2 linked regions of the Mus musculus genome follow. The protein of the gene in region 2 interacts with the protein of the main gene of each other region in a pairwise test. Links are inferred from orthologs where the notes say so. Each region holds a gene or a part of one and is shown on either strand. Other genes may lie near its edges.

Region 1 (4,155 bases), on a different chromosome or scaffold from region 2:
CATGCTCACTTGTCAAGCTGCTCGATCAACTTTTAAATTCTACTTTTGAAATTATGAAAAAGTATATCTAAAGATACTCAGATGTGTATTAAAGTAATATATTAAAGTAATATAAACCACGTGAGTTATGTTGAAAAGTCATAGAATGGTTAAGTTATAGAATCAAAGTAGGTTATTCTGCAGCTATGGACATGTTTATTAAAGTGCCATAATTTAGAAATTTGCTTATACAAAATGTATTTCTGAGGTTGGAGAGACAGCTCAGCGGTTGGGCACTGGCTGCTCCTGCAGAGGACCTGTGCTCAGTTTCAGTACCCCCTGGCACCTCACAACTGCCTCTAACTCCAGCTCCAAGAGACTAGATGTCCTTTTCTGGACTCTAAGGCAACAGGCACACATGGTACACGTGAATATATGCAGGAAAACACTCAAACACATAAAACAATTTCTAAAAGAATGTATTTGCAACCCATATAATTCTGTATCCATCTTCCCTCATATTAAAAAGTAAATTATATATAGATAAATTATATATAGATTTTGAGTCTGTGGGTATAAAAAGCACAAACACGGGCTGGCAAGATGACTCAGCAGTTAAGAGCACTAACTGCTCTTCCGAAGGTCCTGAGTTCAAATCCCAGCAACCACATGGTGGCTCACAACCACCGATAATGAGATCTGACGCCCTCTTCTGGTGTATCTGAAGACAGCTACGGTGTACTTATGTATAATATAATAATAAATCTTTGGGCTGGAGCGAGCAGAGATCCAAAAACAAAAATTAAATCCCCAACAACCACATGAAGGCTCACAACCATCTGTACAGCTACAGTATACTCATATACATGAAGTAAATAAAGAAATCTAAAAAAAGAAAAAAAGAAAAAGCACAAACACACCTGTCAACTGTCCTATGTAATCAAAATATGGCCAGAAGAGCCAAGAAGTGCGCCCGGGTAGGTTCACTTTTGGTTTTTGTTTTAAGTAAAGCCTGAAGCATTGCCACAGAAGCACACTTGGCAGGTTCAAGACGAGTCAACGATGTTGACGATGCATGTGCAAAGAGTTTAAATCTAAACCTAATTTCAGACTTAATTTTCTGGTTCCGGTTCACGAGTCCAGCCGGACCGCGGCAGGTACGGACTACAACTCCCAGCATGCAAGAGGTTCTTACCCACACTCCCGGGCTCCTGACGCGTACATTTCCCAGAAAGCCGAGCGATCACGCTGGCGCGCGCGCGTGCGCTCTGGCGCCAGTAGTCTCTTTTCATTTGGGTTTGACCTACAGCCGCCCGGGAAAAGATGGCCGCGCCTGCAGCGTCCGGACTGTCTCGACAGGTAGAAGCTGGCGGGAGGCTCCCTCCCAGGGTTGCGGGTCCCCGGCTCCCATCGCCGCGTGTGAGGCCGTGGCTGAGGGGTCAGGCAGCCCGCCCAGGGTCGTGGGGCCCGGCGACTGCAGGCAGCGTGGGGCGGATCCGCGTTTCGTCCCCGTGGGGAGTGGGCACGGATTTCTCTGTCTTGACCTTGACATCCAGGACTCACTGCATAGCGGAGCAGCTGGCAAGGGCATGGGAGAGAGCACTGGGGAGAGTACATGCCTGTCCTTGCTGGTAAACCTAAGGGCTGCCTGCTGCTTAGGATTTTGAGTGTTGGAAAAGCGCATCCCCTGTGTTTATAAAGAAGGGGGGAAGGGCTAAACGTCTCCCCTTTGGCTGGCAGCTGGTGAGTGATGGCGAGCTTGCAACAGGCCAAGTCCAGCAGAACCTGGAATTGGGTGGAAAAAAATACGTGCCTGGGTCATCTGCCATGATAATTTTGTATCGACAGCCGTCATGGTTTTCATCTGCACCATACAGAATTATTACTAAGGCGTTAGAAAGTTTTTTAACCCTCATAGCCAGTTCCAATCGAGTACATTCTAGTCTAGAGAGAGTAGTATATGACTGTGACCTGTGCCCTCGCAAAACGCTTTTTAAACTGGATTCCAGGCTGCTCCAGTGACAGACACAGTGCCTGAAGCCTGGTGCTGTATCAAGAGATCTTTGGTCTTAGATAGCATTTCAGTTCCTAAGCAAGTAGGTTTCCTTGAATTAAGACTGGACTCATTTCATGTTCATTAAAGTTTTTCTCAAAGGTGATGTAATATAAATCCTCCGCTTTCATAAAGCATTCTTCCCAAATGTGATAAAGCTCTTAATTATTTTGAAAAATTCCACTTTGGGAAGTTAGCAGCTTTTCTCTCTCAGCTATCCAGGGAGGAAGGTGTTGGGAAGGCAGTTTCTGGAGGGATTTGGGGTGATTCTCAATAGGGAGTGTATAACAAAGAGCAGCTCCCACTCATATAACCTGTGTGATGATAGAAAGGAATTGCGCAAGTATTTGATTAGATTATTTTAACACATTGCTAAGCTAATGCAGAAACCCTGTCTGATCTGTTTTCTTTTGTTCTAAAGGTTCGGAGCTTCAGTACATCTGTGGTCAGGCCCTTTGCCAAGCTTGTAAGGGTATGTCAGCTTACTTATTTGTGTGTGTGTGTTTGGAAAACAATGAAAGAGTGAGTTGAACAGAAATACGTTGAAGTGTGTAATTAATAACCTTGGTCTGCAAGGGTGGCAGTTCCCAGATGAGTGCCTGGGTGCAGGGGATGCTGTTGGGCGCCTGTCACACAGGGTGGGCTCAACCCTAGACTTTAATGTTCTAAAAATAACTTGTTTGGGCCCAGCAAGAGCTCAGCAGGTAAGGGCTGGATGGCAGGCCTGAGGGTGTGAGTTCAATCCCTGGAACCCGGAGGGGGAAAGGAAAGAAAGACCTGAAAGTTTTCTGTTCTGTTCTCTGCGTGTAGTGCGTGCGCGCGCACACACACACACACACACACACACACACACACACACACTGTATGTATAAAAGACTCTTAAATTGTTTTTCCTAGCAATCGTCCATAGACAAGCTAGCCTTTCATTCTTTTTTTTATGAAGGAACTGTTTCTAACAAAAGAAAGTGAAGTGCCCAGATTCTCACACAGTTGATACTCTGTGGCAACTCCGAGTTGCTCAGATGTGAGGCCTGCTTGCAGCCTGCACCTTGTTTCCCCAAGCAGAATCAGTACTGACAGGTACCATTCCCAGGCACCAAGAGTCTCACCATTGATTGCAGAGGTCTATTGGCCTATTCTTTTTAAACCAGAAGTCTGACTGACCTCTGGCCCAAGACAGATTGAAGTATGGCTGCACGTGCATTTATTCTATAGTTCATTGTTACTAATTCATGCATGGCAGAATCTGAAGATATCCTGGGCTGCTGTATGCTCTCGGGCAACCAGGCCAGTGATCTGCACTCATGGTCCCCTTAGGAATAGCAGAATACAATGCTCTAGGGACGTTGGGTGGAACTTACAGCAACACACGCTACGCTTAATAACAGCACCAGATTCCTTCAGCCTCTGTGAGTGGAGCCATTTTATTCCTCCTGAGAACTTCATAAAACACCATGACCGTGATAGGGACACATCCACATGTGCACTTCTTACTGCTGCCCCTGCATTGCTAATCTTCACAACTGCCTGCCGTCGTACTAAACTCCTGTGCTTAGGGATGGCATTGTCACTGAGATCAAAGAAAGCCAAAGCTTGCTGTAACATTTGCAGGTAGGGAGAGCTGGGAGAGACGCTGGACACTGCCCTCTCTGCCCCTCTAAAGGTAGAGGGTCCTGGCCAGGGAGACGGCCCTAGTTTGTGAGTTCTCATTTAGGACTGCACCTTGGCTTGGCAGTGGGAATGCAGTCTTGGAGTTGGGGGTAATTCTGTTCCTGACTTAGCTGCCTCACTCCCCCCCTCTTACTCTTGTTTCCAGCCCCCTGTTCAGGTCTACGGCATCGAAGGCCGCTATGCAACCGCCCTGTACTCTGCTGCATCTAAGGAGAAGAAGCTGGACCAGGTGGAGAAGGAGCTGCTGCGCGTAGGGGTGAGCAGCTCTCTGTTGGGCTTGTTCCTGTGTCCGGTCCTAACGGGGTACAGCCTATAAAAAGAACCACTAGAAACTGCCAAACAGTTTGCTGTAGACAAGATGCTGTTAATAAGACCGCTGTATTACTCTGAAACTTTTGTGTAATACAAGCTAGGAGATGCGTAAGTATATTCACATGAACCCAAGCTTTCCA
Region 2 (3,646 bases):
TTACTAGAAATAACCTTTTTTTCCTCTCCAGCTGTCTTGTGCTCCGATTAGCTGCCTTCCAAAGTTTCTACTCAGGAGGGCTAAATGAAGCTAAGAATTAGCATTCTGGATCTTAAAGGCTGGGCTAGAGGCCCAAACAGGTTCAGGCAAAGAGCCATGATGCCACAGCAGCAGGAAGTGTTTCCTACCGTGACAGGTCCTTCTGCATCTACCCCAGACCTGGACACTTTCCCAGAGTGGACCTTCCCATACTCACACCAACCAGTGCCCGGCAGCTCTCTGTTAAGAATCTCCAGGGTCCATCTCTAATTCTTACACCATCATGGACTGGTTATGTAACAGCTGAGTTTTCCTCTCCAATCTCAAAGTAAACACAGGGGATCTTTTTTTCTAGAGGTTTCTAATGCGTAATCTAACACTACTCTTCCACCATCTTCCTATCTACAATGTCCTCTCCTCTGTTCAACTGTGTGAACAGACCAGAAAGTTGCATACCTTGTATCCCAGAGAAGTCGGAGATGCTTAGATTAGATGGTTCAGAAGTCTTCAATTCCATTTCTGCCCGGAGCGAGGCAATCTCCATCTCATAGTCCCCTCGAATGCGCTCCATGTCATCGAGATCATTCTGCAACCGGCAGAGATCATCCTGCAAGGACGCTATGTCACTCTCATGTTCAGTGGCAGAGTCTGCCGCAGCTTGCCGTAGATTTTGGATCTCTGCTTGGGCCAAATGCAACTCCTGCTCCATTTCTTTAAGTTCGCTTTCCTTCTCATGCTCTAACAGGGAAATCTCCTCCCGTAGATGTTGCAGCTCACCTGAAAAACAAACAAACAAACAAACAAACAAACCCAAAGGTTGGTGGTCAAGAGGTGAATGTGCTGAGCAAAGTCTGGAAACACAGCGTTCAAGAGAGTCTTACCTGCTGTCTGAAAGCCACTGACAACCTAGTCTTTCCCCCACCAGAGATCCAGAGCACCTAATAGGTTGTATTTTATCAGTGTCCTAAGTCTTTCTAAAAATTTCGTAAGTTAAAAAAAAAACAAAATTCAGAGTATTTTCATTTATCCATCCTGGGGCTTAGGAAATACAAGACCCCAGAGGCTCCTCTTAGCCCCACACTTCCTGTAAGCACAGGATGCAAAACAGTACACATGTAGAATTCAAGGTGAAATTAAATAATAATTTCACCACAAAATAATAAAACACCAGGGCTGGTGAGATGGCTCAGTGGGTAAGAGCACCCGACTGCTCTTCCGAAGGTCCGGAGTTCAAATCCCAGAAACCACATGGTGGCTCACAACCATCTGTAACAAGATCTGACGCCCTCTTCTGGAGTGTCTGAAGACAGCTCCAGTGTACTTACATATAATAAATAAATAAATCTTTAAAAAAAAAAATAAAACACCGAATAATAACCTGCATGGTGGTTGACAACATCAACTGTTGGGATCATGATACAGCTCACCGAGAGCCTTAAGTAGAAGCCAATGTCTGTGCCACTTTTAGACCTCCAAAAACATTAAGTCAAAAGAAACCTTTTTTACTAGCTAGAAAAATATGAAAGTGATTTTTAGGATATATTAGGGAGAAAGAAAAACAAATCAGATACTGTACAACATAAATACTTAAAGATACAGAAAAACAGTCGAAGAAGATCTATGCCCCAAACCATAAAGAGTAGACGCTTCAAGTGTGGGAAAAGGGCTTACCATACAAGCTTAATTAAGGGCCTGAGATCAGATCCCTGGCATCCACATAAAACCCAGACCTAGTGGCATGAGTCGGTGCCCTAACCCTGGGACTACAGCATGTGGAGCAGGCAGAGACAGATCCCTGCAGCTTATTGGCTTGCCAGTTTGGCTAAAGCAGGGAGCTCCTGGTTTAGTGAGAGTCTCTGTCTCAAAACATAAGGGGAAGAGTGAGGAAGACACTTGACACTGACTCCTGGTTTCCACATTCACAGAGTCACAGAAAATACATTTAAAAAAGAGCAATTGCTTCAGAGGAGTAGGGTAACATTACAGGTGTCTTAATCTCCATCTTGTAGCAGTGTTGCTTGATTTTTCACACGTGTCTACACTTTATATATGGATTGTGCTTATATTTTAATATGCAAAACAAATGTGTCAGAACCCTGGGGATCATCTGAGGTTGTTTCAGTTTGTTTCTTTTTTGGTTTTTTGAAATAGGTTTCTCTGTGTAGCCCTGGCTGTCCTGGAACTCAAGAGATCCACCTACCTCTCCTCTTTTGCTTTTTAAGACAGGGTCTCATTCTGTAGCACAGGCTGATCTCAAACTCAGCCTCCCGAGTGATGAGATTACAGACATGAGTCACTATATCTAGTTTCGCATCTGGATGCAGGCACCCATTTGGAATGGGTGAAAATAACTCGGAAGTGGAGAGTTAAAGTCATGGATTTCAAGAAGACTTCAGAAGTGTGGGAAGGATTAAGGGATGGAAGAGAACTGGACTTTACAAGGTATGCTGTCCCCATGTCCCATCTCCTGCATATTCTAGCAAACATCCAGGTTCCATCTTTTTCTAACGTCTCCTCCACCTCCTCCAAAAGTTAAGAGGAATCCTCAAGGCTCATATAGTGCCTTGAACTCTGTAGCACATGTGGCTGTGTTCCGTTCTGTCCTCACTTGGCTATAAAGTTTATGCAAACAGGGAACATGCTGGTTTCATTTACTTCCTTTCAAACAGAAAGTCAGGCCATGGGGATGTAGTTCAGTACCTAGCACACATGAGATGCTGGGTTCAACCTTTAACCAAGGAAATTAAGCCCAAATCCAGCTCAATAAATATAAATTTACTATATTCATGTAGGAGGTAGAGACTCATTCATTCAATTTTTACTGAGTTTCTTCTGTATACGCAACATTACATGTTAAGAGCACATGGGCGTTCTATAAGACACATTTAAGGGCACCATTGTACATGTCTATAGTCCCAGCACTCTAGAGGCCGAAGTAAGAGTACTGCTTGAGTCTAGGAGTTTGAGACCAGCCTGTGTCAAGCTGTACGGGAGGGAGAGAAGAAGGGAGAAAGCACCCATTTGGGTATATGGCCAATAAGTGGACAGGTTGAACCCAGCATCTCATATGGCTACATACTGACCCGTATCCCCACATCCTGACTTTCTATTTGAAAGGAAGTAAATAAAACCAGCGTGTTCCTTGTTTTCATAAAGTTTATGACCAAGAGATGGGAAGACCAACTAAAACACCCCACAACACAAATATATTCCACAGTACAAGAATTTACAAGGTGATATCTAGATCCTCAGCTCAGCTTAGTTGGAGCGAGAGGCATGGGGGGGGGGGGGTGTCAACTGGTCACTATGATGAAGACCCCACCCCAGGCCTGGGCATTCTAGGGGCACAGCCTAACCTCCATCTCCCTAGCATACCCTCAAACCTCACTAGCTAGCTGTTCGGGACCTGGCTCTGTAAAGAGCCTTCTTAGATCATGGGAGTCAGGGTAGTGATAGGTGGCGAGGGGCCAGGCTCATCTTGGAAGCTGAATGGGATAGGCCAGCCAGGAGTTGGAAAGGCAGGGACCAGGTTCCAAAGAGCTGGCGCCGGTTGACTGCGGGCTGGGGCCTTCAGGGGGCGCGGCGGAGGATTCGGGGGGCAAAGAAG

The links.
Region 1: the proteins of Ccdc136 (region 2) and Atp5o interact in binary tests that used the Homo sapiens proteins (3 or more experiments, as listed by UniProt). The two-hybrid records come from large-scale screens. The link is inferred for Mus musculus from reciprocal best matches to the Homo sapiens genes CCDC136 and ATP5PO.

The regions. Positions count from the first base shown.
Region 1 is NC_000082.6:91,928,703-91,932,857, reverse strand, and holds the start of Atp5o (ATP synthase subunit O, mitochondrial precursor), read left to right. Parts: upstream 1-1,227; 5' UTR 1,228-1,302; coding exon 1,303-1,338; intron 1,339-2,453; coding exon 2,454-2,504; intron 2,505-3,848; coding exon 3,849-3,959; intron 3,960-4,155. UniProt on the Homo sapiens protein: Subunit OSCP, of the mitochondrial membrane ATP synthase complex (F(1)F(0) ATP synthase or Complex V) that produces ATP from ADP in the presence of a proton gradient across the membrane which is generated by electron transport complexes of the respiratory chain.
Region 2 is NC_000072.6:29,403,041-29,406,686, reverse strand, and holds part of Ccdc136 (coiled-coil domain-containing protein 136), read right to left. Parts: intron 817-3,646; coding exon 496-816; intron 1-495. UniProt on the Homo sapiens protein: May play a role in acrosome formation in spermatogenesis and in fertilization.